2 linked regions of the Macaca mulatta genome follow. The protein of the gene in region 1 purifies or fractionates together with the protein of each later gene. This does not show direct contact. Links are inferred from orthologs where the notes say so. Each region holds a gene or a part of one and is shown in the gene's direction. Other genes may lie near its edges. The genes, in order: SYNGAP1 and YWHAE.

What was found.
Region 2: the proteins of SYNGAP1 (region 1) and YWHAE purify together in Homo sapiens (affinity purification with mass spectrometry; 3 studies listed by BioGRID and IntAct, with this or other methods). This does not show direct contact. The link is inferred for Macaca mulatta from reciprocal best matches to the Homo sapiens genes SYNGAP1 and YWHAE.

The regions. Positions count from the first base shown.
Region 1 is NC_133409.1:148,834,993-148,850,382, reverse strand, and holds part of SYNGAP1 (ras GTPase-activating protein SynGAP), read left to right. Parts: intron 1-481; exon of another isoform or gene 482-1,161; coding exon of another isoform or gene 1,162-1,279; intron 1,280-1,411; coding exon 1,412-1,503; intron 1,504-2,132; coding exon 2,133-2,254; intron 2,255-4,610; coding exon 4,611-4,764; intron 4,765-4,974; coding exon 4,975-5,073; intron 5,074-7,168; coding exon 7,169-7,792; intron 7,793-7,919; coding exon 7,920-8,064; intron 8,065-8,275; coding exon 8,276-8,420; intron 8,421-10,241; coding exon 10,242-10,478; intron 10,479-10,634; coding exon 10,635-10,836; intron 10,837-11,042; coding exon 11,043-11,221; intron 11,222-11,911; coding exon 11,912-11,953; intron 11,954-12,342; coding exon 12,343-13,414; intron 13,415-13,898; coding exon 13,899-14,072; intron 14,073-15,390. UniProt on the Homo sapiens protein: Major constituent of the PSD essential for postsynaptic signaling. Inhibitory regulator of the Ras-cAMP pathway.
Region 2 is NC_133421.1:2,894,503-2,909,892, reverse strand, and holds part of YWHAE (14-3-3 protein epsilon), read left to right. Parts: intron 1-1,853; coding exon 1,854-2,053; intron 2,054-6,202; coding exon 6,203-6,309; intron 6,310-7,029; coding exon 7,030-7,236; intron 7,237-12,621; coding exon 12,622-12,758; intron 12,759-15,390. UniProt on the Homo sapiens protein: Adapter protein implicated in the regulation of a large spectrum of both general and specialized signaling pathways. Binds to a large number of partners, usually by recognition of a phosphoserine or phosphothreonine motif.

The DNA.
Region 1 (15,390 bases):
TTAGGGTCTCAGAATGTGGATCCGTGCTATGCCCGTGCTCACAGTTGTCTGTATGTCTCAAAAGCACATAGATCCCCAGTTATTTTTTTGTATTGTGGTTCTCATATACACGTACCACTACAGCTCAGTGTATGTTTCTGTACTATACACCTGTTCCTGAGGGAGTGATAGGGTTCTCGTGTCATGGGGTCCACCACCTGGGTTTTACAGGTAAAGGGGAGCTGGGGACTGATTCTAGGGCAGTTTGCAGGCAATTTGCAATTCTGGAAGCAGACAGTGAAAATATAATTGTGGTCCTCCCTTGTTCTGTTCTGGAACCTAGAGGGTTAACAGGCAGCTCTTCCGGTCCACCCCCCTCCTTCCAGCCTGTAGCTTCTTGTTGCCGTGGAGATGCTGGCCCCGCCCCTGATGCAGCACCTGCCCCCCCATTGGCTGCAGTGGTGACTGTGGGGCTGAGGGGGGAGCCCAGGCCTGGGCAGCCATTCTGGAGCTGGAGCCGGAGCTTGGCATCCCCCCACTTACATTCTCTTCCAGCCCCTCGGCCCCTCTAAATTCCCTTGTAGCTGAGCCTCAGCTTCCTTTTTCAGAGCTTGCCATCCCTCTAGGCTCTTGGCAGGCTGAGCTGCATCCGCATTCACCTCCCCTCCTCCTCCTCTCCCTGCCCTTACTTGGGAGTCCCCAGAACCCCCACTGCCCATCCTTCCTGTTCCCTGCCCACTCCCCTGCATTCTTTGCTTTTCCCCTCCCCCACCTTCTGAGCCCCTGCCACTGCAGTGCACGTGGAACCGGCTCCTTCTCCCCTCCCCCCACCTGCCCCTTCCTTGGATTTTCTGTCCCCGGCTTCTCCCCCTGCTACTCTTCACAGGTCTCTTCCAAGACCTCCCCCTCCAGTCCAGGGAGGGGGTCATGGGAGGCAGCCCTGGCCCTCCAGACAGACAGGGGTTCCAGGAGGTGGGGGGCAGATGGAAGATGTGTCCAGCAGGGGGAAGAGGAAAGCCTGCCTATGGGCAATGACCTTTAACCCATCTTTCCCCCCAGCTGGCCCCTTCTGGGGTGGGTGGGCACCAGGGACCTAGCCTCCCTGGATCTTTGGTGTCCTTCATTACTGGGGTTTTACTGACCCTCTCAGCCATGCCCCCCTGCTGACTGCTAGCCCCAGTCATGGGCCTAAGGCCTCCCACCCCATCCCCCTCAGGGGGCTCCTGCTCAGGTTCCTTGCCCCCTCCTTCCCGCTGCCAGCCTCTCCGCCGTCGCTGCTCTTCCTGCTGCTTTCCGGGGGGTAGGTGAGGCCGGAGCTGAAGGGCAGAGGGAGGTGGGGGCATGCACTGGGGTCAGGGGTGGGAACCTGGGTTAACAGCTTCCCTCCTGGCCCCCTCCCCAACTTCCCTTCTGGCCCTTTTCTCCCCTCCAGAATACCACTTGGGTCGCTCGAGGAGGAAGAGTGTCCCAGGGGGGAAGCAGTACAGCATGGAGGGCGCCCCTGCTGCGCCCTTCCGGCCCTCGGTGAGTGGTGCCTACCAGATGTGGCTCAGCTGGGCCCCCTCCCCTGAGCCCCAACTCGGGCCCTAGGAGTCTGAGAAAGAGGGCAGGAGGGGGAAAGAGGGAGTGAGATTGAGAAAAAGTGTGTGTGTGTGTGTGTGTGTGTGTGTGTGTGTGTGTGTCTCCCCACCTCTTTGGTTTCCCAAGTGAGATTGAGAAAAAGAGTGTGTGTGTGTGTGTGTGTGTGTGTGTGTGTGTGTCTCCCCACCTCTTTGGTTTCCCAAGTGAGATTGAGAAAAAGAGTGTGTGTGTGTGTGTGTGTGTGTGTGTGTGTGTGTGTGTGTCTCCCCACCTCTTTGGTTTCCCCCTTCTTGGCTCTGCCCCTCTGCTTCTGAGACCAGCCCTCCCACTTTCTCCAAGCTCTGTGTGTGTGTGTGTGTGTGTGTGTGTGTGTGTGTGTGCACGCGTGCTTGCACTGTACCTGTGGGAGCAAGGAAGACAAACTGGTATTAGGGTTCCTATCCCCCTTTCCTCGCCTCTGGAGACTTCCCTTTTCCCCATCCCACTTTCATCCAGGGACTATCTACCAGCTGAGGGATGAGTAGGTAGAACTGACCCTGCCCCAACACACCCCATCCCCATTTCCCCCCCAGCAAGGCTTCCTGAGCCGACGGCTAAAAAGCTCCATCAAACGAACGAAGTCACAACCCAAACTTGACCGGACCAGCAGCTTTCGCCAGATCCTGCCTCGATTCCGAAGTGCTGACCATGACCGGTACAGGGGCTGGAGCATGTGGGATGAGATCAATGTAATGTAGGGTCTCTTGTGTGAGATGCAGAGGGAGGGGGTTATCTGTGTGCAAAGGTTGAAGGATTCAACTCAAGTTGGTTGGGGGATGTCACGGGGCAGGGGACAGAACAGAAAATAACTAGAATAGGGATCTGTGAGTAGCAGGAGAGGGGTAGGGTGGCAGAGAGAAGACAGAGAGGCTGGAAAGGGAATGAAGGTGAAGCCAAGTAGTGACTCCTCAGGGACTACTCAGGCCAAGAAGGATGGGCTCTAGCCCAGGATCAAAGGAGCTGTACAGGAGGAGAGTGACCCTGGAGGAGCGTTTAAGGAATGCAGGGAAGGGGTTGGTAGGTCAGTGAGCAATAGGCTCTAGGTGGAAGGGTGTCAGGGAAGGTCAGGAAATACAGGGCAGCAGGTTGGAGCGGGGCTGGGGGTGGCTGAATGAATGGATGATGGCTAGGGCTCAAGGACCTCATCAGTGAAGGAAGAGACAGTATAGAGCATGGCAGAGAAGGGGAGTCTGGGACAGGTGTGCAGGGTGACAGAATGGGGAGCAATCCATGGACTGAGGCATGAAGAAGCAGCCTGTAGAGACGTCCAGAAGGCAGTGGCCCTGAGGCCAGGCTGAAGGAGACCTCCACTGTTTGCCTTTGTTGTCTGCCATTTGGGGTTCCTATCTGGGTTTCCCCCTCACCCAGTCACTCCCTAGGGAGAACCATGCCCTCCCTTTCCACCACGTCTGGCCACCCACAGGATTGGGCAGGTAGGGAGGTTGGGATAAAGTGAGTTACACCTTTCCCTGCCCCCCTCCCATGTTGCCAGAGCTGGATTTGGGGCCGGCAGGGGGTGAGGGCATGGTATTCCTGGCCGCGGGGGCGGGGGGGGGCCGGGGGCCGGGGGAGCGTCGCGCTGACGGCAGCCAGAGCCTGCGATGACGGGGCTGCTATAAATAACTTCTTGGAGGCTCCCACACCCGAGCTCCCCTCCCGCTTTCCCACTGCTCTCTACTCTTCATCCCCTGCCCATCTCCATACCGCTTGCTATCCTACCCCTCATTATTCCATGCCCCCAGTCCCCTTTATCTTCTGCCCTCCTGCAGTGATTTTTTTGCATTCCATCCCCTCTTAGCCCCCACCTCGGTTCTCCTGGCCACCTCTCCAGTTGGCCCTCCTCCTCTTCTCCTGTCCTCTGTCTTGCTGCACATACCTTTGTCTTCCCCTTTCTCCTTGCCCTACCTTCTCTTCTTCCCTAGTCCCCATATTCTGTCTTTTATCCTCATTCAGCTCTTTTTTGCCCTTAGCTTTCTCCTGTTTCATATGCTTTTCCCTCACTCTTTCCCCTGGTTCTGCTAAAACTTGTCCTCTTATGCTATGTTCATTCATTCTTTGAATCATTAAATGTTTATTAGGCACTTTTTGAATCATTAAATGTTTATTAGGCACTAGCTGTGTGCCAGGCCCAGGCTAGACATATCTCTTTTCTGTGCCATCACTTCTTCCACTTTTTCCTTTATACTGAGGCTCTGGTTTCTGGGGTTACCTGGAGGTACTACCTAGAAGTGCCCCAGGCCCACTTTGTTCTCTCCTTTTTTTTTTCTTTTCTGCCATGGTCCATTTCTGGGTTGAGATATTTCTAGGTATCCCCAGTCCTCACAATCCCTTAGGTGTGAGATGGTTGGAGTTTCTTTTTTTTTTTCCTTTTTTTAAAAATAGAGATAGGGTCTCACTGTGTTGCCCAGACTGGTCTCGAACTTCTGGGCTCAAGTGACCCTCCCACCTCGGCCTTTGAAAGTGTTGGGATTACAGGCGTGAGCCACCAGGCCCAGCTGGAGCAGGGGAGTTCCTTAAAGGATTCTCATTTCTCTCACATCCCTCATGTCCTTCCTGAGATAGGCAGGGTTTCTTTCAGTGCCTGTCTGGGAAGGGTGTTCAGGGGGCCTTCTCTCCAAGTCTCCATCCTGGAACAGACTGATGGTGCAGGATCCCTATGTGTCTAAGAAGAGTAGTGGGGCCGGGCGTGGTGGCTCATGCCTGTAATCCCAGCACTTTGGAAGGCTGAATCACGTGAGGTCAGGAGTTTAAGACTAGCCTGACCAACAGGGTGAAACCGTGTCTCAACTAAAAATACAAAAAAAAAAAAAAAAAAAAAAAGAAAAACAATTAGCTGGGTGTACTGAGGCAGGAGAATCGCTTGAGCCCAGGAGGCAGAAGTTGCAGCGAGCCGAGATCACACCACTGTACTCCAGCCTGGGCAACAGAGCAAGACTCTGTCTCAAAAAAAAAAAAAAAAAAAAGAGTGGGGGGCCCTGATCCCCGCCTCTCCTGAACCTCCTGCTTGCCAGGGCCCGGCTGATGCAAAGCTTTAAGGAGTCGCACTCTCATGAGTCCTTGCTGAGTCCTAGCAGTGCAGCTGAGGCATTGGAGCTCAACTTGGATGAAGATTCCATTATCAAGCCAGTGCACAGCTCCATCCTGGGCCAGGAGTTCTGTTTTGAGGTACTGGGTCTAGTGGGCTGGGGAGGGCCAAAGGAAAGGGGCAATGGAAGGTGGGGGGCAGAGAGGTCTAGAGAAAGTGGCACAGGTGGGGACATCAAGGAAACAAACTTTTGGGACTGGAAGAAAGGAGGATAGGCCAGGGAGGAAGAGAAAGTAGCAGAGTCTCCTTCCCTTTGTAGCCCTTTCCCTCAACTCCACACTCCTTTCTAGGTAACAACTTCATCAGGAACAAAATGCTTTGCCTGTCGGTCTGCAGCCGAAAGAGACAAATGGATTGAGAATCTGCAGCGGGCAGTAAAGCCCAACAAGGTATTGGGGAATAAAGGGGACATAACCTGTGCAGGGCAAAGGTTGCGCCAACATGGAAAGTTGGGGGCCTAGGGAGGAAAGTGAGTTAAAGGAGGAGAGGCTTGGAGAAGGAGAGGATTGAAGTACAGGGTACCTGGACAAGAAGGGGGAGACCCCCATTATTCTGAGTCCCCCATTTCTTTTCTCTTTCTGTACTTTCTGTACTGCTACCCTGCCTTACTATCTCTTTCCCTGCCATATAAGTCGTAGACTTACAGAGTTGACGGGGCTCTGGAAATCCTTTAGTCTAGCTTCCCTGCAGGCAGGAATGCTTCACTAAAACCCCGCAGGACACATAAAATACACTTAGCCAAGTCTCTGTACCTTGGTTTCCTCTCTAAGACAGAGGGAACTGTCTTAGGGTTGGATTAAATGATCTCTAAGTTCCCTTTGGCACATAAATTCTGTGAGTCTGTGTTCTTCCCAAAACTTCATGCTTTCAGTTCTGTCAGCTATTCTCTGTATCCCAGTTTCTAGCAAGCTTACAGTCGTAGTCACCCTCCTCTGGGGGGAACTCTTGTGTCTTGATGTCCTTAAAGAACTCAACCCAAGATGCTGACATGATCTGACCTATGCAGAGTACAAACACCATGTTCTTTTTCCACACACTGCAATATCACCTGAGCCTTCCCATTAGCTTGTGCTCAATTGTATCCCCCCAGGCCCTTATACCAACTGTCAAGCCTTACTCATTCTTTTTTTTTTTTTATTTTATTTTTTTGAGACTGAGTCTTACTCTGTCACCCAGGCTGGAGTGCAGTGGTGTGATCTTGGCTCACTACAACCTCTGCCTCCCAGGTTTAAGCCATACCTGTGCCTCAGCCTCCCCAGTAGCTGGGATTACAGGCATGCACCACCACACCTGACTAATTTTTGTATTTTTAGCAGAGACAAGATTTCACCATGTTGGCCAGGCTAGTCTCAAACTCCTGACCTCAAGTTGTCTGCCTGCCTCAGCCACCCAAAGTGCTAGGATTACAGGCATAAGCCACCACACCTGGCCAAGCTTTACCCATTCTATATACAATTCTTTTTTCACAATTTCTGATAGTCTCTGCAGGACTTTCCAGTTCCCTTTAAATTCTACATTAATATTTTTGGCTTGTTATTCCAGCTTTAAAACTCTTTCCAATACTGTTTGTGTTGTCTAGTGTATGAACTACGCTTCTAGAGTAGTTTCCTGGGGCTGCTATAACAAACTGCTACAAACTTGGTCACATTAAACAACAGAAATTTATTCTTTCACACAGTTCAGGAGACTGGAAGTCCAAAAGCAAGGTATCAGCAGGGCCATGCTCCTTTTGATGCTGTAGCAGGGAATCCTTCCTTGCCTCTTCCTAGCTTCTGGAGGTTGCCAGCAGTCCTTGGCATTCCTGGGCTTGTAACTGCATATGTCTAGTTTCTGCCTCCATCTTCATGTAGCTGGCTTCCTTTTGTGTGTCTCTGTATCCTGTATCTCTATGTCTCCAAATCTCCCTCTCCATATAAAGACATCAATTTTTATAAGGTGGATTAAGAGTCAACTCTAATTCAGTATGGCCTTTTTTTTTTTTTTTGAGATGGAATTTCGCTCTTGTTTCCCAGGCTGGAGTGCAATGGCATGAGCTCATCTCACTGCAACCTCCGCCTCCCAGGTTCAAATGATTCTCCTACCTCAGCCTCCCGAGTAGCTGGGATTACAGGCACGTGCCACTATGCCCAGCTAATTTTTTCTGTATTTTTATTAGAGACAGGGTTTCACTATGTTGGCCAGGCTGGCTCGAACTCCTGACCTCAGGCGATCCACCACCTCAGCCTCCCAAAGTGCTGGGATTACAGGAATAAGATACCGTGCCTGGCCTCTTCTTAATTTGATTACATTTGCAGGGATCCTGTTTCCTAATAAGATCACAGTCACAGGTTCAGGGTAGACATGAGTTTTGGTGGGATACTGTTCAACCCAGTACACCGTCTCACCTATGATTGCTGTCTGTATCCCACTTTCTTACTGTCTCTCCTCTTTTGGTGTCTCTCTGTCCCTTCCCCCTTTAACATCGTGCCCACCCCACCATGCCAGGACAACAGCCGCCGGGTAGACAATGTGCTAAAGCTGTGGATCATAGAGGCCCGAGAGCTGCCCCCCAAGAAGCGGTACTACTGCGAGCTCTGCCTGGATGACATGCTGTATGCACGCACCACCTCCAAGCCCCGCTCTGCCTCAGGGGACACCGTCTTCTGGGGCGAGCACTTCGAGTTTAACAACCTGCCGGCTGTCCGTGCCCTGCGGCTGCATCTGTACCGTGACTCAGACAAAAAGCGCAAGAAGGACAAGGCGGGCTATGTCGGCCTGGTGACTGTGCCAGTGGCCACCCTGGCTGGGCGCCACTTCACAGAGCAGTGGTACCCTGTAACCCTGCCAACAGGCAGTGGGGGATCTGGGGGCATGGGCTCGGGAGGGGGAGGAGGTTCGGGGGGCGGCTCAGGGGGCAAGGGCAAAGGAGGTTGCCCGGCTGTACGGCTGAAAGCACGTTACCAGACAATGAGCATCTTGCCCATGGAGCTATATAAAGAGTTTGCAGAGTATGTCACCAACCATTATCGGATGCTGTGTGCAGTCTTGGAGCCTGCCCTGAATGTCAAAGGCAAGGAGGAGGTTGCCAGTGCACTAGTTCACATCCTGCAGAGTACAGGCAAGGCCAAGGTGAGTGTTGTGCCCTCAGGGAAAGGTGACTTGGGAATGGGCACTTGCTTGGGGGTTAGTGAGGACAGGGCAAATTCACGAGATTGGGTTGTGCAGAGGCTGACACTTGGATTTTCCTGGGCCTCAGGACTTCCTTTCAGACATGGCCATGTCTGAGGTAGACCGGTTCATGGAACGGGAGCACCTCATATTCCGCGAGAACACGCTCGCCACTAAAGCCATAGAAGAGTATATGAGACTGATTGGTCAGAAATACCTCAAGGATGCCATTGGTATGGCCCACACTTAGGCCCTCTTCTTCCCAAACCTGCCAGATGTCCACCCCAGATCCCAAGTCCACGCTTCCACAGCTTGATACTTCCTAACCCAGAGTCCTAGGACTCCAGCCTCCAACACCTGATTCTGAAATTTCCCCAACCCTGGCCACCCCCTTCCCTGCCCTTGAAAAGTGTGACCACACCCTCTTGTGCCGCCACCCTCCAGGAGAGTTCATCCGTGCTCTGTATGAGTCTGAGGAAAACTGCGAGGTAGACCCTATCAAGTGCACAGCGTCCAGTTTGGCAGAGCACCAGGCCAACCTGCGAATGTGCTGTGAGTTGGCCCTGTGCAAGGTGGTCAACTCCCACTGGTGAGACTGGGAACGCTGGGCTGGGGGGCCAGGGTCGGGGGAATTATGTGTTCATCTGTTCATCTATCTGTCCATCCTCAAAGAGGACTGAGAACCATTTATGGGCAAAGCATTGTTCTAGGCACTATAGAGCAAACAGGTGAAAGAGGCCTGGTCCCTGCCCTCAGAGGGCCTCCACCAGAATGAGTGGGGACAAATTAGGGAAAAAAAAGCCACAGAGTCATAATGGTGTGTAAGTTCTGAGTAAGGGTCCCCCCACCTCTGTGTGATAGAAGGTCAGAGAGAAGGCAGAGCTTTAATTGAGATAAGCGGGGAAGAGGTGCCCCATTGGGTAGGCTTTGAAGACTGGTTTAGGTTCTGATATGTGGACATAGTTGGCAAGAAAGACATTTCAGAAGAAGGCTGTGAGAAAGGCACATGTGTGATGGTGAAAAGGCCCAGGAGTTATCAGGGGACATTAGAGTAGCTTAGTAGCAATTACATCAGGTTTAGTGGAGCATGTGCCTCATGATGGGGAGTGGTGGGAGAGATGTCTGGGCAGGAAGATTAGCTTTAGAAACTGGAAGGCCTCAAGGAGTCTGAGGTCATTGGTAGGCCTTGGGATGCCATTAAAGGTATCAGAAGTATTGTGATTTAGAAGATTAATCCATAGGCTGGGCACGGTGGCTCATGCCTGTAATTCCAGCACTTTGGGAGGCCGAGGTGGGCAGACCACTTGAGGTCAGGTGTTCAAGACCAGCCTGACCAACATGGAGAAACGCTGTCTCTACTAAAAATATAAAATTAGCTGGATGTGGTGGTGCATGCCTGTAATCCCAGCTACTTGGGAGGCTAAGGCAGGAGAATCGATTGAACCCAGGAGGCGGAGGTTGTGGTGAGCCAAGATCACGCCATTGCACTCCAGCTTGGGCAACAAGAGTGAAACTCTGTCTCAAAAAAAAAAAAAAAAAAAAAAGATTAATCCATAAGTAGATTATAAATAGTAGAATAGAGGGGTGTATGTGGGGGGATGACTGGAGTAGAGCCAGCTGGGGGTTGGGAGGCATGAAAGTCAGATCCTGAATCAGAACAGTGACAGAGTTAGGAAGGAGCTACTGGAAGGACCCTCTGAGGAAAGGATCAGTAGGAATTGTCAGCTTATTGGAAAAGAGGGAGCATATCTGCGGGGAGTCACGGATGACTCAAGAGGCCATGAGGCTGGTGATTGGGAGACCTGTGGCCTCATTGACAACCAGGAAAGTCAGGAGGAGGAGCCAGTTGGAGGTGTGGGGGCGGTGGTGAGCTCTGCTTTACACCAGTAGAGTTTAAGGTGTCAGTGGGACATTGAAGTGGATCTGGGAGGTGGGGGGAGTGAGCTCTGAGCCATTCCAGGGACTGGGGATCATGCCTGGGGCACCTCCATCCCCATTTCCCTGGAATCCAGAAGAGTTGGGGGGTCCGAGCTCCCTGTACCTCAAGTGACCCTCCATCTCTCTCCCATCTTTGTCTCTCCCTGGTGTCTGTTTTTCTTCTCCTCCTCTCCTTGTCTCTCTCCCACACCCCTCCATCTCTCTCCCACGTGTCTCTCCCCTCACCTTCTCTCCCCCTCCATTTCTCTCTCCCTAATCTGTCTGTTCCCTCTGCCATGGCCCCCTTCTTCAAGCAGCCTCCCATCTTGCTCCTGCGGTCCCTCCTTCCCTGTCTCTCTCACCTCTGTTTCCACACCCTCACCTCCTACCACCCCCCTCAGCATGTTCCCTGGAAGCTGAGGGTCTCTGGGGCTCAGTCCCGGTCTCTCTCTTTCTCTCTCTCTCTCTCTGTCTCCCCGCCCCTTCCCCCCAGCGTGTTCCCGAGGGAGCTGAAGGAGGTGTTTGCTTCGTGGCGGCTGCGCTGCGCAGAGCGAGGCCGGGAGGACATCGCAGACAGGCTTATCAGCGCCTCGCTCTTCCTGCGCTTCCTCTGCCCAGCGATTATGTCGCCCAGTCTCTTTGGGCTTATGCAGGAGTACCCAGATGAGCAGACCTCACGCACCCTCACCCTCATTGCCAAGGTCATCCAGAACCTGGCCAACTTTTCCAAGTGAGGGAAGCTTCAGGAGAGGGCAGGGCAGGGCGTGGCAGGGCTGGGGGTGGGCAAGAAGGGTCTCCTGAGTCCCCAGAGATCCTGAGATGGGGAGGCTATGACACCTTTTCTGTGTGTGTGTCTGTGACCTTTATCTTCTGGATTCTTGGCTAGGTTTACCTCAAAGGAGGACTTTCTGGGCTTCATGAATGAGTTTCTGGAGCTGGAATGGGGTTCCATGCAGCAGTTCTTGTATGAGATCTCCAACCTGGACACGCTAACCAACAGCAGTAGCTTTGAGGGTTACATCGACTTGGGCCGAGAGCTCTCCACACTGCATGCCCTGCTCTGGGAGGTGCTGCCCCAGCTGAGCAAGGTCAGCAGATCCCCTCTTTGCCCTATCCCCAGATGACTCCAGAGGTTCCTGGAGCCTAAGAAACTACCCTTTGAAGATTTTTTTTCTCCCCTTGTTCCCCGAGGTGTCACCACTACCATCCCAGCTCAGACCCCCTCCACCTGTACCCTCAGAGGCCCTCTTAGAGCTGGGCACTGAGCCCCCAGGTAACAGCCTCACCCTTCCAGGAAGCCCTCCTGAAGCTGGGCCCACTGCCCCGGCTCCTCAATGACATCAGCACAGCTCTGAGGAACCCCAACATCCAAAGGCAGCCAAGCCGCCAGAGTGAGCGGCCCCGGCCTCAGCCCGTGGTACTGCGGGGGCCATCGGCTGAGATGCAGGGCTACATGATGCGGGACCTTAACAGGTGAGCACCCTGGGACAGCCAGGCCTGTGCCCTAGGAGCCCTTCTCCTGTTCTAGATACTCCTCATTGGGCCCCACACGCATCTCTCTAGGGCTTGAAAAAAGGAAAAAGCACCAAGTTCTCAGGGAAGACTGGTAAGGAGACAGGTACAGTCAGTGGTAGGCTGAGAGCCCTTTACAGCCTGAGGGAGTGAGAGATGTGGAGCTTTAGGAAGAGGGCTGAGGCTCCACCAACTCACGGCTTAGTTGTAAGCCTAGAGCATCCCTGCTGCAAGCTCTGATTTGCTGTCCCTCTGCTTGCCTATGCTTGTCCCCAGGCTGAGGTTCAGCCAGCACGTCATGTCAGCTATGTGTCAAAATATTCAAACATCTCAGTAATAGCTAGTGAATAAGCACTTCCCCTAGCCCCCAACCAAAACCTCACAGACCTCCCCATGATCCAGCACTTAGAGCAGTGGCAGCAGAAGCCTAGTAGGGCCTGCAGCCTGCTCCAGAGTCCCAGCCTCAATTCCCATGGGTGGTGCCCGTGCCTCATTTGCTGCTCATTATTTTGATGATGGCCCTGCTTGTTCCTCTGCCCGTGTCTTCCTCCATGACACCATACCCATGCCACCATTCCCGCCTCTCCTTTCATTTGTCCATATCTTTCTCCTTCTCTGTCTGTGCTCGCCCCTCTTTCCATCTCTCTCCAGCTCCATCGACCTTCAGTCCTTCATGGCTCGAGGCCTCAACAGGTGAGGGGCTCTCCCCTCCCCCGCCCTCCTCTCCTCTCCTGTCTGTTCCCTCTCCTGCTCCACTGGCCTTCGCCCTACTCCTCTCCTCCTCCATGGACCTCATCTCCTCCATATCTGCCCAGCCCTGTCCCCATTCCTTCTCTTGCTGCCCCCATCTCCCCTCCTCTAGGCCTCACCCCCTTCCCGGAGGGGCCCTGTCCTTTCCCTTTACCCACCCGTCCCCTCCCATCCTCCCTGCCTTCCCTCTTCAGGGCTGCCACTGCTAGCTCTCAGCCCTTCCCTCTGGGTCCCACTTTTCACCCCAAGGCCTATGCCAGACCACAGCAAGGCTCAATTGCTAGGAGCCCCAACCTTACCTTCTGCTTGTGTTACCCCTTCCTTTCTGACAGCTCTATGGACATGGCTCGCCTCCCCTCCCCAACCAAGGAAAAGCCACCCCCACCACCACCTGGTGGGGGTAAAGACCTGTTCTATGTAAGCCGTCCACCCCTGGCCCGTTCCTCACCAGCATACTGCACGAGCAGCTCGGACATCACAGAGCCAGAGCAGAAGATGCTGAGTGTCAACAAGAGTGTGTCCATGCTGGACTTACAGGGCGATGGGCCTGGTGGCCGCCTCAACAGCAGCAGTGTTTCGAACCTGGCAGCCGTAGGGGACCTGCTGCACTCAAGCCAGGCCTCGCTGACAGCAGCCTTGGGGCTACGGCCTGCGCCTGCTGGACGCCTCTCCCAGGGGAGTGGCTCATCCATCACGGCAGCTGGCATGCGCCTCAGCCAGATGGGTGTCACCACAGACGGTGTCCCTGCCCAGCAACTGCGAATACCCCTCTCCTTCCAGAACCCTCTCTTCCACATGGCTGCTGATGGGCCAGGTCCCCCAGGCGGCCATGGCGGGGGCGGTGGCCATGGCCCACCTTCCTCCCATCACCACCACCACCACCATCACCACCACCGAGGTGGAGAGCCCCCTGGGGACACCTTTGCCCCATTCCATGGCTATAGCAAGAGTGAGGACCTCTCTTCCGGGGTCCCCAAGCCCCCTGCTGCCTCCATCCTTCATAGCCACAGCTACAGTGATGAGTTTGGACCCTCTGGCACTGACTTCACCCGTCGGCAGCTTTCACTCCAGGACAACCTGCAGCACATGCTGTCCCCTCCCCAGATCACCATTGGTCCCCAGAGGCCAGCCCCCTCAGGGCCTGGAGGTGGGAGCGGTGGGGGCAGCGGTGGGGGTGGCGGGGGCCAGCCACCTCCATTGCAGAGGGGCAAGTCTCAGCAGTTGACAGTCAGCGCAGCCCAGAAACCCCGGCCATCCAGCGGGAATCTATTGCAGTCCCCAGAGCCAAGTTATGGCCCCGCCCGTCCACGGCAACAGAGCCTCAGCAAGGAGGGCAGCATTGGGGGCAGCGGGGGCAGCGGTGGCGGAGGGGGTGGGGGGCTGAAGCCCTCCATCACCAAGCAGGTAGGTGAAGGCAGGAGGAAGGCGGGCTGGGTCACGACAGGGAGGGAAGAAGGAGATTGGAGGGGTGGGGTTGGAACAGAGTCTGTGGCCTGAAGTTACAATCTTCTTGCCTCCTTTTGGCCATTAAATGTGTATAGAGGGCCTGCTATGTGCCATGTGCTATGCCAGGCACTAAGGATATGGCACTGAACCCTCTTAGCACTCTCATTCCAGAGGGGATTAATCCATAAGTAGCGTGGGGGTGACTGGAATAGGGCCAGTTGGGGGCTTGGAGGCATAAAAATCAGATCCTGAATCAGAACAGTAACAGGAGAAATTCTCTGGCATTCAACTCACATCTCTGGCATTCAGAGGTGATAAAGGCTACAGCAGGGCAATAGGACTGGGACTGTCATCTCCTTTGGCTGTGCTGTTGCCCTCTAAATGTACCCTGCTTTTTCCTACCTTTCCTTTCTCTGTTCGCCCTCACTGTGCCTTGTCCCAGCATTCTCAGACACCGTCCACATTGAACCCCACAATGCCAGCCTCTGAGCGGACAGTGGCCTGGGTCTCCAATATGCCTCACCTGTCGGCTGACATCGAGAGTGCCCACATCGAGCGGGAAGAGTACAAGCTCAAGGAGTACTCAAAATCGATGGATGAGAGCCGGCTGGATAGGGTACGGTGGGCTCTACCAGCTCCAAGCCCCAATGTTTCCTTTTACCCACAGGGGAGATCTCTAGTCACTTCCAAGGGAAACCTCCAGGGTCAGGTAGTTATGGTAGAAAGAAAAGGCAAAGACGTGATTACCTCTTGAGAAGCCTTCAGTCCATCTGGGGAGACCAGATACACACAGTTGTTAAAAAGTCACTTTCAACTCTATTTTGTAGGTTATATATATCGTAGACTATCTGGGGATCATCTATTTTAGGCTTACCTCCATATTCTTCCCCAGGAGGAACATAAGCCCTGGCTCCTGTGACTGCTTAGGAAAGGAAATGTTACTTTACTGGCAGTAGGAGCTAATAAATTGGGTGGGGATGGAGGGGGATGCAGTTATATTACAAGTGATGTCTGGCCTACCCAGTCACTGTCCCATGGGCATAAGTTACTCAGTGGGCAGAGGATGCATGTGGTAAAGTAGTATGTATTGGTCATGTGTGAAAAGGCCATCCGGACCCTCACTTGGTGGAGGCTGAGGGCAAGGGGCATCAAGAGCTCTGGGGCACACACAGATAACTTAGCAGAAAGTTACTTGAGGAAGCTGTTGCTCCTAGGGCCTGAGGAAGAGGGTGGCTGCAGGATTAGGTCATATATAAACAACATATGACCCTAACATGGGGAAGTGGTTTTTGAGCATAGGAAATGTGGGGACTGACTCAAATGGGCTTGACCAGCAAATTTAATGAGAATTAAGCCCTAATATTAGCCCAAACGCAGCCACCGTAGGAAGTTAATTCACATCTCTCCTCTGCATGTAGAAGGGTTGGTGATACATGTCTGTATCCTCTTCAGAGAATGAGGAATAGTCTTTTGAATCATTTTTTTTCTGTTCTGTGCTTCAGATGAGGAAACCTTGTTGAGAAAGGCTGTAGACTAGCACTATCCAATACAACTTTCTGCAGTGATGAAATGTTCTGTAATCTGTACTGTTCACATGTGGCTAGTTGTGATTCAGGAACTGAATTTTTAGCTCTATTTAATTTTAATTTTGTAATTTTTCTTAGACAGGGTTTTGCTCTGTCACCCAGGCTGGAGTGCAGTGGTGCAGATGTGGCTTGCTGCAACCTCTGCCTCCTGGGCTCAAGGCATCCTCCCACCTCAGCCCCCTGAGTAGCTAGGACTACAGGGTCGTGCTACCATGCCCGGCTGGTTTTTCTTTTTTTTCTTTTCTTTCTTTTTTTTTCTTTTTTTTGTAGAGACGGGGTTTTGCCATGTTGCCCAGGCTGGTCTAGAACTTGTGAGCTCAAGTAATCTACATGCTTCAGTCTCCCAAA
Region 2 (15,390 bases), on another chromosome or scaffold:
TTTTTTTTTTTTTTTTGGATACGGGGTCTCGCTCTGTCACCCAGGCTGGAGTGCGGTGGCGCGATCTCAGTTCACTGCAGCGTCTGCCTCTCAGGTTCAAGCAATTCTCCTGCCTCAGCCTCCATGGTAGCTGGGATTACAAGCGTACACCACCATGCCCAGCTAATTTTTGTATTTTTAGTAGAGACGGGGTTTCACCGTGTTGGCCAGGCTGTTCTCGAATTCCTGACCTCAGGCGATCCATCAGACTTGGCCTCCCAAAGTGCTGAGATTACAGGCTTGAGCCACTGTGCCCACCCAATTTAGTAGTGTTTTATGAAGTCACTATCTCTTTATACCTGTTAGTTAAAGTATACTTATGCTTAGGGTGTTAATGAATGCTAAGGATGCTTATTTAAATGCAGATAATTTTTGTTGTTGTTGTTTTTTTGACACGAGTCTTGCTATGTTGCCCCGAGTGGCAATACAGTGGCGCGATCTCAGCTCACTGCAATCTCTGCCTCCTGGGTTCAAGCTATTCTGCTGCCTCAGCTTCCCAAGTAGCTGGGATTGTGGTGGTGTGCACATTGGTCAGGCTGGTCTTGAATTCGTGACCTCAAGTGTGATCTGCCCACCTTGGCCTCCCACAGTTCTGGGATTATAGGCGTAAGCCACTGCATCCAGCCTATTTTAATTAATTAATTAATTTTGAGGTGGAGTCTCCATCTGTTGCCAGGCTGGAGTGCAGTAGCACAGTGTTGGCTCACTGCAATCTCCACCTCCCAGGTTCAAGCGATTCTCCTGTCTCAGTCTCTGGAGTACCTGGGAGTACAGGTGCGCATCACCACGCCCAGCTAATTTTTATGTATTTTTTGTAAAGATGGTGTTTCACCATGTTGGCCAGAATAGTCTCTATCTCTTGACCTCGTAACGCGCCCACCTCGGCCTGCCAAAGTGCTGGGACTACCAGCATGTCCAGCCTCTATTTTAATTTTTTAGAGACAGGGTCTGACCGTGTTGCCCTGGCTGGTCTCGAACTCCTGAGCTCAAGTGATTCTCCTGCCTCAGTTCCCAAAGTGCTAGGGGTATGAGCCACTACTACTGGCGTAAAATGCAGATTCTTGAGTCTCATCACCAAAGATTCAAACGTGGGTAATGTTGGAGAGCCACGTGGTAATACAGCATCAAAATAAGTTTCTGTTAATGTATTCATTCAGTTACTATTTCTTGTGCTATTGCGCTTTGCATTCACACGCTGTTAGCTGTATTTCCCTATGCTTGCGATAGATCCCAAGGCTTCTCTGGGCCCCTTTCTTTGCTCGCCACCTAGTGGTAACAAATAGGAGTCATCAGAAGTTTCACCAGAAGGAGCTTCATACGAGGAAGGATAGAAAACATCCAAAGTCTGTTGGTGGCCAACCATACACTCCGTACATTTTTGCTGTATGAACAAATTGCCCCTTCTCTTGTTTTTTTGGAAATACTATTTATTTGTAAGACAATACGTTTTAGCATCTGTAAATTCTTAATCTTTCTCTTAAACTGGCGGCTTTTTTTTCCTTTTTTTTGGCTGGAAAATGGTTAGGTATGCCTAATTAGAGAGGTGCTTTCAGACCACACTAAATTATATTAGATAGTATATGAAGTCTTCCTGATTCCATAGAACTTACATTCTAGAGTCTTTGCATTGGCTCTTAGTTTGGTTTCCTTTACATGTTTTTGGCTTTTTACTCATACTAGTTTTGATGATTATGAAATTATTTTTGTTGAAAAATTTTTTTTCCAGTAGCTTGACAGAAAAAAACCTACTTTGAATGGGATATGTTAAGAAAACTTCCAGTTTGTAAGATCTGACTTTTCCTTTTCCCATGCAGAAATGGTGGAGTCAATGAAGAAAGTAGCAGGGATGGATGTGGAGCTGACAGTTGAAGAAAGAAACCTCCTATCTGTTGCATATAAGAATGTGATTGGAGCTAGAAGAGCCTCCTGGAGAATAATCAGCAGCATTGAACAGAAAGAAGAAAACAAGGGAGGAGAAGACAAGCTAAAAATGATTCGGGAATATCGGCAAATGGTGAGATTGCTGTGCCGTCGTCCCCCTTTATGCACAGTTTGAGTTACCTGTAGGACGGTACACTAAGAGGTTTTGAGAGAGAAGGAGACTGCATTCATATAACTTACATTACAGTATGTTATAATGTTTCCGTTATTAATCTTTGTGCCTAGTTTATAAGTTAAACTTTCCCATGGCTATGTATGTATAGGACAAAACATAGTCTATATCAGATTTGGTATTATTCATGGTTTCAGCACATCCACTGGCTGGTCTCAGAATGGATGCCTCTTGGGTAAGGGGGAACTGTTGTTATTTTCAAGCAAAATGATGACTGTTTTTTAAAAAAATACGGTGGGTTGGCTGGGCATGGTGGCTCATTCCTGTAATCCCAGCACTCTGGGAGGCCGAGGCGGGCGGATCACGAGGTCAGGAGATCCAGACCATCCTGGCTAACATGGTGAAACCCCGTCTCTACTAAAAATAGAAAAAATTAGCCGGGCGTGGTGTCGGGCGCCTGTAGTCCCAGCTACTGTGGAGGCTGAGGCAGGAGAATGGCGTGAACCCGAGAGGGGGAGCTTGCAGTGAGCCGAGATCGTGCCACTGCACTCCTGCCTGGGTGACAGAGTAAGGCTCTGTCTCAAAAAAAAACACACACACACACACACAACAAATATACTGGGTTAATTTGTCTCATTCCTCTTCCCCCCGGCCCCCCAGACTCACCTTGTCACCCAGGCTGGAGTGCAGTGGCACGATCTCCACTCACTGCAAGCTCCGCCTCCCGGGTTCACGCCATTCTCCTGCCTCAGCCTCCACAGTAGCTGGGACTACTGCGCCAGCCACCACACCCGGTTAATTTTTTGTATTTTTAGCAGACACGGGGTTTCACCGTGTTAGCCAGGATGGTCTCGATTTCCTGACCTTGTGATCCGCCCGCCTCGGCCTTCCAAAGTGCTGGGATTATAGGTGTGAGCCACCGTGGCTGGCCTTTTTTCTTTTTCTTTTTTTTTTGAGGCGAAGTCTCGCTCCGTCGCCCAGGCTGGAGTGCAGTGGCCAGATCTCGGCTCACTGCAAGCTCCGCCTCCCAGGTTCACGCCATTCTCTTGCCTCAACCTCCTGAGTAGCTGGGACTACAGACGCCCGCCACCTCGCCCGGCTAGTTTTTTGTGTCTTTTAGTAGAGACAGGGTTTCACCGTGTTAGCCAGGATGATCTCGATCTCCTGACCTTGTGATCCACCCGTCTCGGCCTCCCAAAGTGCTGGGATTACAGGCTTGAGCCATCGTGCCCGGCCCTTTTTTTTTTTCTTTTTTTAAAGAGGAAGTTTCGCCCTTGTTGCCCAGACTGGAGTGCAGTGGTGTGATCTCAGCTCATTATAACGTCTGCCTCCCGTGTTCAAGTGATTCTCCTGCCTCAGCCTCCTAAGTAGCTGGGATTACCGGTGCCTGCCACCACAACTGGTAAATTTTTGTATTTTTAGTAGAGATGGGGTTTCACCATGTTCGCCAGACTGGTCTGGAACTTCTGACCTCAGGTGATCTGCCAGTCTAGGCCTCCCAAAGTGCTGGGATTAGAGGTGTGAGGCACCACACCTGGCCTAGTTTTTTCAACAGAATAGAACATATCAGAGTGGAACACTGTAAGCATAAGGATTATTTAATGAAGTTATTTTACATACTGTGTGTGTAGATGCATATATAAAATGTTTCTTATTGTAGGTCTTGTTAAAAAAGTTGTATAGCCATCACTCTAATGCAGCAGTTTTCAATTAGAGGTGCTTTTGTCCTTCAGAGGACATTTGACAATGTCTAGAGATACTTTTGTCACTTAGGGGGTGCTGCTAGCATCTAGTGGGGTGGAGACAGGATGCTGCTAACCATTCTACTGTGCGCAGCACGGCCCCACAGCAAACTCCAGTAGTGCTGCTGGTGAGAAACTGATTTAGTGGAAGAGACAGGCACGTAACGCATGAACGAGAACAAGGAAGAGAATTACAGGGCAGGTGGAAAGTGAGCTTGGTTGGGAGAGGGAAAGGTGGGGGAACCACAGTTACTGACTCGCCAGCTGTACTGGGCACTGTCCTGAGTAGAGAAATATTTCTGTTATATGTATTTGTGTAAGGTAGTACGTGAAATCTTTAAAATAGCACTGGAAGGGGGAGGCATTATCCCAACCTATGAATGCACAAGCCAGGATTTTGAGTGTTTAACATACCTGAGGTCACTTAGAAAGTTGTGAGCTGGGGCCGGGCGTGGTGTCTCGTGGCTGTAACCCCAGCACTCGGGGAAGACAGAGGCAGGAGGATCGCTTAAGCCCAGTAGTGGGCAAAAAAGTGAGACCCTGTCTCTAAAATTGTAAGCTGGGGTTGATGTGTTAACCATTACCCTGAAATATGTTGGGTCAAAGAATTTGGTTGGTCAGTAGACAAGTTGAGTGTCCCAGTGGAAGGAGGAGGTGAGGAAGTTGAAAGTGCTAAAGAAACAAGCCCAGGAGCTCCACTGTGGGATTTCTGTGGGATTTTGGCTGCCTGGGAAAGGGAAGTGGGAATCAAAGACAGCAACTGATAAAGTGGGAGAAGACGTAAAAAGCTCAAGAGTCTGATGTCTTAGATGAGATACATGCATTAAAAAAGAAAAAGTGGCGAGGCGTGGTGGCTCATGCCTGTAACCCCAGCACTTTGGGAGGCCAAGGTGGGTGGGTCACACCTGAGGTCAGGAGTTCGAGAGCAGCCTGACCAACATGGTGAAACCCCGTCTCTACTAAAAATACAAAAATTAGCCAGGCATGGTGGCACGTGCCTGTAATCCCAGCTGTTCAGGAGGCTGAGACAGGAGAATTGCTTGAACCCAGGAGGCGGAGGTTGCAGTGAGCCAAGATCGAGCCACTACACCCCATCCAGCCTTGGCAATGAGTGCGAAACTCTGAATCAAAGAAGGAAAAAGTAAAAGAGTCCAGGTGTCTTGATGAGTCCATAAATAGAAATTACAAGAGAAGAGGAACTGAAAAAGGAAGCCATGGGCCCAGAGTGGAGTGTTACAATTCAGACTGCTAGTATAGGGCAGCGCGGTCATGGGTGTGGACAAGTGGAAGTCTTGGAGTAGAGAGCCAAGAGCTTGTCGAATGGAACACGGCCACACCATACCTTGGTGTGATCTCAGGTATCGGATGGGTTTGCTGTAGACATTGAGTGAATCTGGGAGAAGGGTGTAGAGATCTACTGAAGACAGAAGCTGAGAAATAGAATGTAGAATATCAGCTTGTGAGGAGGAAGGATTTGGAGTAATAGGAGAGCAGTCATTGACTGTGCAAGGAGCTAGGAGAACTTAGAAATCTTCCTTTTCCTAGACCAGTCTCTGTTGGAAAAGCCGTCAGGGCGGTGGTTTATTCAGAAAATGATTTTGCTTGGGATAAGGATGTGATTATAGAAGAAAAAGTGAGAGAATGTTTTACAGTGAAACGGAGGTTCCGGGGGCATGGAGAGGAACGAAAGGTTCAGCAATAGTGCATGAGTTAATAGCAAATAGGAAGCAAGCTGGGGATGTGCGTCCAGAGGTGGTGTACGCGTTCAGCATTATCAGTGGATAGAGATGGTGGCAATAGCTACTTTGGTAGATAGGTTTTTGGTGTCTTAACTAGTTACAGATCTCTGCCATTTAAGGAATTGCCTGGTGACTGTTAGGAATGTGAGTGCTGAAGGCAAACTGCCTGGGTTTAAATTTTGATTTTGTCCCTTGCAACTGGCCTGAGTTCAAATCCTAGCTCTGCTTATTAAATTCTTTTAAGTTGATCTTAGAACAATGTGTTTACATTGCTACCTTGTGGAAGAAGTTAATTCATGTAATTGACCAGCATTTATCAAGAAGCATCAGTGTTTTAGTCATTGGTAATTCTGTAACTGGACTGAGAAGGGAGTGTGGGGGCTGGCGTATGTGCGCCTGCATGTGTGTATGTAACAATAGCATGCAGAAAGGAAAAGATGCTTTTTATAACCTAGAGGCAGCTTTTCTCTGCTTTTGTGTCAAGAAGGAAGAAGGGAGTTGGGAGGTGGTTATTAATTCTTTTTAATACTAAGCTCTCCTCCTAAAAACCAGAGATAGAATGTGTAATAATTTGTAGAATTTCTAGACTTAATCAGATTTTTTAAAAAAATTTATTTTTATTTTTTCAGGTTGAGACTGAGCTAAAGTTAATCTGTTGTGACATTCTGGATGTACTGGACAAACACCTCATTCCAGCAGCTAACACTGGCGAGTCCAAGGTTTTCTATTATAAAATGTAGGTTCTATACTAGAAGGGAAAATGTAAGATTGAAAGTTGGTCCTTTTAGAATTACAACTTTTTTCTATGTGGGTTTTCAACTTTTATTTAAGAATAATTGTTCAATGTTAGAAGGATAGTTAATATTGGAATAAAAAGATGGACTATTATAAAAATGTAAAATTTTTAATAGTTACTCGTAGAAAACATAATTTTATATTTTCTGTTTTAGCATAAACAAGTTTCAGTCTTACTAATGTGTGTTAAACTGTTCTCCCATTTATACTTCAGATTGTTCCCAGCTTTTGCTTATTTTATATTCTTTGTTTTTGTGAGACCTATCCCATTCCCTTCCCCCAAGCGGCATACATTTCACAGTGCTTAGTGTTTTATATAGAAATTTTATTTTATTTTTAATAAACAGTCATGCCATTCCTTGGAACCACTTGCTTAATTCTGGTTTATTAGGTGATAATTTTGTTAATTTTTAGAGGCTCCTCAGTTAATTTCCTTGGGATTTTTGCTTATATTTAGTAATATGAAATGTCTAAGGAAAAACACAAAAGGAAGCCAATTATTCCTGAGGGTATTTAAAATTATTGAAGTATACCTGCTAATTGTTACATATATTTTTGTCGCATATTTTATATAATATAGAACAATTTTAGCTTATTTTCCTTTAAAAATCGTCATTCCTGGTTTAAAATTTTTTTTTTTTTAATTTTGGTTTTGTTTTAGGAAAGGGGACTACCACAGGTATCTGGCAGAATTTGCCACAGGAAATGACAGGAAGGAGGCTGCGGAGAACAGCCTAGTGGCTTATAAAGCTGCTAGTGATATTGCAATGACAGAACTTCCACCAACGCATCCTATTCGCTTAGGTCTTGCTCTCAATTTTTCCGTATTCTACTACGAAATTCTTAATTCCCCTGACCGTGCCTGCAGGTAAGTTGTGGGGAAGAAAAAAGCTCTCAGCTTGAAAGTTAAGGGGTAGCCGGGCGTGGTGGCTCAAGCCTGTAATCCCAGCACTTTGGGAGGCCGAGACGGGCGGATCACGAGGTCAGGAGATCGAGACCATCCTGGCTAACACGGTGAAACCCTGTCTCTACTAAAAAATACAAAAAACTAGCCGGGCGAGGTGGCGGGCGCCTGTAGTCCCAGCTACTCGGGAGGCTGAGGCAGGAGAATGGCGTAAACCCGGGAGGCGGAGCTTGCAGTGAGCCGAGATCGCGCCACTGCACTCCAGCCTGGGTGACAGAGCGAGACTCCGTCTCAAAAAAAAAAAAAAAAAAAAAAAAGAAAGAAAGTTAAGGGGTAGCTATTTGGATTTTCCGTATTGTTTCTTGGGCCTGCCTTTGTAGACTTGGCTGCGTATTGATTCTTTTGACTCTTACTGAAACTACTTTGGATAGTATTAAAACAGACCTATCTCAACCCACTAGCGTAGCAGTCAGGGTAAGTATTTTTATGTGGGATATTTTGGTAGATTGAAATCTAACGTGTTAAAATGAGTAGAGGAAGGGCCAGGCGCGGTGGCTCAAGCCTGTAATCCCAGCACTTTGGGAGGCCGAGATGGGCGGATCACGAGGTCAGGAGATCGAGACCATCCTGGCTAACACAGTGAAACCCCCTCTCTACTAAAAATACAAAAACTTAGCCGGGCGAGGTGGCAGGTGCCTGTAGTCCCAGCTACTGGGGAGGCTGAGGCAGGAGAATGGCGTAAACCCAGGAGGTGGAGCTTGCAGTGAGCTGAGATCCGGCCACTGCACCCCAGTCTGGGTGACAGAGCGAGACTCTGTCTCAAAAAAAAAAACAAAAATGAGTAGAGGAAGGAAATGAGAGGAATTATAAGATAGAATTATTTTAATTTTATATATTAGTTTTCAGTCTTTTTTTAAAATTTGAGACGATGTCTCACTTTGTCTTCCAGGCTAGAGTGCAGTGACGCCATCTCAGATCACTGCAACCTCCACCTCCTGGGTTCAAGTGATTCTTCTGCCTCAGCCTCCTGAGTTACTGGAGTTACAGGGGCCTGCCAACATGCCCATCTAACTTTTTTTGTGTTTTTAGTAGAGACAGGGTTTCACCGTGTTGGCTAGGCTGGTCTGGAACTCCTGACCTCAAGTGATCCGCCTGCCTTGGCCTCCCAAAGTGTTGAAAGTACAAGCGTGAGCCACCACACCCAGCCAGTTTTCTGTCTTTATGGGCATGTTTTTAATAGTTACTCTCGTCGAAAACATAATTTTATATTTTCTGTTTTAGCATAAACAAGTTTCAGTCTTACTAATGTGTGTTACACTGTTCCCCCATTTATACTTCAGCTTGTTCCCAGGTTTTGATAATGTAGATACAAATGTAAGGAATATTTGTATGTACATAGCTTTTTACTTTTAAAAAGTTGTGATAGCCTCGGCGCGGTGGCTCACACCTGTAATCCCAGCACTTTGGGAGGCTGAGGCGGGTGGATCACCTGAGATCAGGAGTTCGAAACCAATCTGACCAATATGGCAAAACTCTGTCTCAACTAAGAATACAAAATTAGCCGGGTATGGTGGTGCATGCCTGTAATCCCAGCTATTCGGGAGGCTGAGACAGGAGAATCGTTTGAACCCAGAAGGCAGAGGTTGCAGTGAGCCTTGATTACACCAGTACACTCTAGCCTGGGTGACAAAGCAAGACTTTGTTTCAAAAAATACACACGCGCGCACACACACACACACAATTTAGTGGCACCAAATACCTTGACAGTGTTGTGTAATCACCACTATTTATTTGAAAACTTTCTCTTCACCCCACACAAAGCAAATTACAGCCATTAAACAAACAATAACTTCATTTCCCCTCTGCCCACCTGCTAGTAACTTTTATTTTACTTTGTCATTATGAATTTTGCGCCCATTCTAGATACCTCATGTAAGTGGGATTATATAATATTTGTCCTTTTGTGGCTGTTTTTATTTCATCTAGCATCACGTTTTTATCCATGTAAAAGCATCAATCAGAGCTTCAGTCCTTTCCGTGACTGAATTCACACAATTCATTTTACGTGTTTTGACACATTGTTTAGTCATTAAACTTTGAGTGGTCAGTGGGTATCTTTCCACCCTTTTTCTGTGGTGAGTACAGTGCTGCTGTGAACATGGATGCATTAAGTATTTGCTTCAGTCCTTGTATTTAACTTCACCTTGAGGTGGAATTGGGACTGAAAATTCTGTGTGTACCTTTTTTTTTTTCCCCAGACAGGATCTTGTTCCGTCTCTGCAGTTGTGCACTCATAGCTCACTGCAGTCATGGCTTCCTGAGCTCAGCTGATCGCGTACCTGAGCCTCCAAGTAGCTGTCACTAGAGGAGGATGCCACCATGCCTGGCCTTTTCTTTTCTTTTCCTTTGTTTTTTGTTTGTTTTGTTGGTTTTTTTGTTGTTGTTTTTTTTGTTTTTTTTGAAGCAGAGCCTGTCACTGTTGCCCAGGCTGGAGTGCAGTGGCACAATCTTGGCTCACTGCAATCTCTGCCTCCCGGTTTCAAGCGATTCTCCTGCCTCAGCCTCCCAAGTATCTGGGATTATAGATGCCCACCACCATACCTGGCTGATTTTTGTATTTTTATGTAGAGACGGGGTTTCACCATGTTGGCCAGGCTAGTCTTGACCTCACCTTAAGTGATCCGGTCACCTCAGCCTCCCCAAGTACTGAGATTACAGGCGTGAGCCACTGCACCCGGCCTCTTTTAAATTTTTACAGTAAATATTGCAGTAGCAAAATGGTTGTTTTTTGCTTTTTTTTTTCAATGAAGTCTTGCTCTGTTGTCCAGGCTGGAGTGCAGTGGCGCGATCTCGGCTCACTGCAAGCTCCGCCTCCTGGGTTCACGCCATTCTCCTGCCTCAGCCTCCCGAGTGGCTGGAACTACAGGCACCTGCCACCAAGCCTGGCTAATTTTTTAATATTTTCAGTAGAGATGGGGTTTCACCGTGTTAGCCTGGATGGTCTTGATCTCCTGATCTCGTGATCTGCCTGCCTTGACCTCCCAAAGTGCTGGGATTACAGACGTGAGCCACCATGCCCGGCCTCTTCTGCTTTTTGTGTGTTTTTTTTTTTTGGTTTGTCGAGGACCACTGCTTAAGCCAAGTAGATTTTTTAAGTGAAAGCCTTTCAGAGATTGAGGAAAGTAGATTAACTGATACATTAGAACTTTAACGTTGACTATTACAGGCATGCTTCACTGTGCTCGACTGATTTTTTTTTTTTTGCATTTTTAGTAGAGACGGGATTTCACCATATTGGTCAAGCTGGTCTCGAACCCCTGACCTCAGGTGATCCACCCACCTCAGCCTCCCAGAGTGCTGGGATTACAGGCGTGAGCCACTGCACTCAGCCAATCTAAAAATATTCTAAATGGCTAGTTGAGTTTGTCCAGGATAGGGGTCATAACTGAAGAAGCTTTGGCTATTTAACTGATACTGGTGGTTGCACCTTTCCTTGTCAGACTCCAGTCTAGCTGTCCCACGTGTAGCTCCAGTTTTAAGTCACTTCCATGCCTTTGCTCATGCTTTTGCTTAAACTTGAAGTGTGTTCTTTTTGCTTTCTCCTGATCCATTAAGGTTAGCTCAAATTTGACCTTCCCATTAATTGCTCCTCCTGGGTCCCTGAGATACTTCATTTAGAGTAGCACTTGAGTCTTCGTCGTCTTCTTTTTTTTTTTTTTTTTTGGTTCTTTTTGTCCAGGCTGGAGTGCAGTGGCACAATTTCAGCTCACTGCAACCTCCGCCTCCCGGGTTCAAGCAATTCTCCTGCCTCAGCCTCCTGAGTAGCTGGGACTGTAGACATACACCACCATACTTGGCTAATTTTTTGTGTTTTTAATAGGTTTTGCCATGGTGGCCCGGCTGGTCTTGAACTCCTGGCCTCAAGTGATCTGCCCGCGCGCATTGGCCACCCAAAGTGTGCTGATTACAGGCGTGAGCCACCACACCCAGCCTCCTCCTTCTTTTAAAATAGTTACACATTTGTCCATCCTCCATTTCTAAAGTTTTAAGGTGATTGTGGACTTAGATTATGTCTCTCTTTTTTTTTTTCTATTGGTATCTGGTATCATTTCTTGGGCATAGTACACAGTATTCAGTAGGTGTGGATTTTCTTTTAAAACTGTAAAAGGCAGGCCGGGCGCGGTGGCTCACGCCTGTAATCCCAGCACTTTGGGAGGCCGAGGCGGGCGGATCACAAGGTCAGGAGATCGAGACCACGGTGAAACCCCGTCTCTACTAAAAATACAAAAAATTAGCCGGGCACGGTGGCGGGCGCCTGTAGTCCCAGCTACTCAGGAGGCTGAGGCAGGAGAATGGCGTAAACCCAGGAGGCGGAGCTTGCAGTGAGCCGAGATCGCGCCACTGCACTCCAGCCTGGGCGACAGAGCGAGACTCCGTCTCAAAAAAAAAAAAAAAAAAAAAAAAAAAAAAAACTGTAAAAGGCTTACATGACCACATTTCCGTGGCTTCTGTGTTGCCTTTTATTTTCTTTGCTTCCCTGCCTCCATTAATGTGAAATTAAATTTTATTAAACTTTGAGGTATTGTCCAAGATTTTCTTTTTGCATTAATACTTTGTTAAATATCTCGGGGGGGGGGTGGTTTGTACCATTGGTCCCAGCCACTCAAGAGGCTAAGGTGGGAAGATTGCTTGAACGCAGGAGTTCAGGTCCAGCCTGGGCAACATAACGAATCTCTTAAAAAAAAAACTTGGGGCCGGGCGCGGTGGCTCAAGCCTGTAATCCCAGCACTTTGGGAGGCCGAGACCGGCGGATCACGAGGTCAGGAGATCGAGACCATCCTGGCTAACACAGTGAAACCCCGTCTCTACTAAAAAATACAAAAAACTAGCCGGGCGAGGCGGCGGGTGCCTGTAGTCCCAGCTACTCGGGAGTCTGAGGCAGGAGAATGGCGTGAACCCGGGAGGCGGAGCTTGCAGTGAGCTGAGATCCGGCCACTGCACTCCAGCCTGGGTGACAGCGCGAGACTCCGTCTCAAAAAAAAAAAAAAAAAACTTGGCCGGGCACGGCGGCTCACTCCTGTAATCCCAGCACTTTGGGAGGCCGCGCCTCTGCAGATCGCGCCACTGCACTCCAGCCTGGGCGACAGAGCAAGACTCCATCTCAAAAAAAGAAAAAATAGTAGTGCTCCACATACCTTTAAGTTAATTTTTATTGTATTTGCTTTTTCTTTGTATCATTGTCACTATTACACACTGGAATAACTGAAGAAGAGATTGATGTCTAGCATGTCTTTTCTAATTCTGATTTTGGATTTAATTTTTATAATACATTTATTTAAATACCTTTAGGTTGGCAAAAGCAGCTTTCGATGATGCAATTGCAGAACTGGATACGCTGAGTGAAGAAAGCTATAAGGACTCTACACTTATCATGCAGTTGTTACGTGATAATCTGACACTATGGACTTCAGACATGCAGGGTGACGGTAAGCAAACACTAGGAAGTAAAAGAGGCACCTCTTTCAGTTGCAGGATTTGTTTTTACTCTCTGTAGACATTCCTTGGCATATCTTTACATCAAGCTACAATTTAGACTCACTGCCTGCTCTCTATGAAATTTTAATTATTGCCTTTATAGGAAATGGTGCTAAAGTACCGAGTTCCATTTTGGGGAACTTAGTTTAAGTCTTCCTTTACACTGTTTCAAAGGTTGAGGAAAGGAAAAGTGGAAAGCAAGTAGTTTATTTTATCTTCGTCCAGATTCAATTTTAGGGGGCTGAAGTTAACTGTATTTAAATCCAGATGGTATCAATAGGTATTTATGAAGTTTTTCTCTTTGTTGAAATTTTTTATCTAAAAGGGAACTAATTTCCCATTTACCTCTGGGGTTCAGCAGAGAAATTGTATGTTGGCCCTTGGGTCTTTTTTTTTTTCTTTTCTTTTCTTTTTTTTTTTTTTTGAGATGGAGTCTCGCTGCAACACCCCGGCTGGAGTGCAGTAGCATAATCTCGGCTCACTGCAAGCTCTGCCTCCCAGGTTCAAGCGATTCTCCTGCCTCAGCCTTCCGGAGTAACTGGGGTTACAGGCACCCGGTATCATGTCCACCTAATTTTTGTATTTTTAGTAGAGACGGGATTTCGTCATGTTGGTCAGGCTGGTCTTGAACTCCTGACCACAGGTGTTCCGCCCGCTTCAGCCTCTCAAAGTGCTGGGATTACAGGCGTGAGCCACTGTGCCCGGCTGTTGTTACTTTTAAGAGGTTTTCATTGCAAACAATTTAGCTAGAGTATTTTACTAAACTTAATTGTGATGGTGAGTGTGTGTGAATGTTTACTTTAAATACAGAAGCCCAAATTTGTTAACGTTTGTTGATTTTAAAGGAAATTTAATTCTCTCTCTCTAGAGAATCATTATTATCCATGGTAGATTGTTGAACAGGGGTGGAGAAGAAGACAAATTAGTGTGATATGAGCATTACATTACAAGATAGTTTTACATTTGGTGGTGCTGGTGCTGGTAGGAGGTTGGAAACAAAGTCTGTTGTCAGTTTTAGCTGCGATTCCTTTAAGCATGTTTCTTAAGCTGGGCTGGGCGCGGAGGCTCAGGCCTGGAATCCCAGCACTTTGGGAGGCCGAGACCGGCGGATCACGAGGTCAGGAGATCGAGATCATCCTGGCCAACACAGTGAAACCCCTGTCTCTACTAAAAATAGAACAGGTGTGTTGGCGGGCGCCTGTAGTCAGTCCCAGCTACTCAGGAGGCTGAGGCTGGAGAATTGCTTAAACCCAGGAGGCGGAGGTTGCAATTAACTGAGATCGTGCCATTGCACTCCAGCCTGGGTGACAGAGGGGAGACTCCATCTCAAAAAAAAAAAAAAAAAAAAAAAAAAAAAAAAAAAAAAGTTTCTTAGACTGAAACATATGTCGCGTTGCTTGAGGCTATCTGTAGTGTCTGTTGGGGAAATCGACCTGCTGTATTGTCTTTGGAAGTGTTACACTTTTTGAAAACGCTTCTGAAAGTGGGCACGTATGTGTCTTTTCTCTGAAAGGATCAAATCAGATTTGTGACTTTTGGGTTATGGTACTAAAGTGAGACTCAGCTTTTAATGCTTCCTAGCTCTAGGAAATGTTTAGGATTTGACTAAATCGGGATTGGCATGAGATACTCATATACATAGGACTTACTTACACGCTTGCAATAGTGCCAGATGGAGCCACGGACCACTTCCCAGCGCAGCATTTCAGGCTGCTACTCCCAGTCCTTGGAACTCAGAAACAATTTACCAACTCTGAACAAGTGGCTTCCAGCTTGAAATCTATCCCACTCTGGTTGCGGTGGCTCATGTCTGTAATCCCAGGACTTGGGAGGCCAAGGTGGGATGATGCCTGAGCCTAGGAGTTCAAGACCAGCCTGGGCAACATAGTAAGACCCTGTCTTTAAAAAAATGAAAAGAAAAAAAAGGCCGGGCGCAGTGCTATGTGCCTGTAACCCCAGCTACTTGGGAGGCTGAGGCAGGAGCATTGCTTGAACACAGGAGGTGGAGGTTGCGGTGAGCTGAGATCACGCCACTGCACTCTGGCCTGGGAGACAGAGCGAGGCTTCATAGAGCAAGACTTTATCTCAAAAAAAAAAAAAAAAAAAACTCCAGTGAGGTTGGGGGATCTTGAGGCTGCAGTGAGCCTTGATTGCGCCACTGCATTCTAACTTGGATGACTGAATGAGGTGCCATCTCTTAAGGGAAAAAAATTGTTTTAACAACTATGAAGAAGAATGGCCAAACAGCTGTGGACTCCTAACAGTCATCCCCAGCTCAGATACTAGCATCTCTCTGCCTGTTGATGGAGGGAAAGCACGTGGAGAGTTTGGGAAGCGGGATTGACTTGAGGAAATGATACCCTCTCACCCCTGGGGATGGGTGTTTGAGAGTAAAAGTAATAAAAAGTAATAAAGGTGACTTGACTTGAATATGTGTGTGTGTATGTGTATTTTATTATTTATTTGTTTATTTTTATTTATTTATTTATTTTTGAGACGGAATTTTGCTTTTGTTGCCTAGGCCAGAGTGCAGTGGTGCTATCTCAGCTCACTGCATCCTCTGCCTCCCAGGTTCAAGTGATT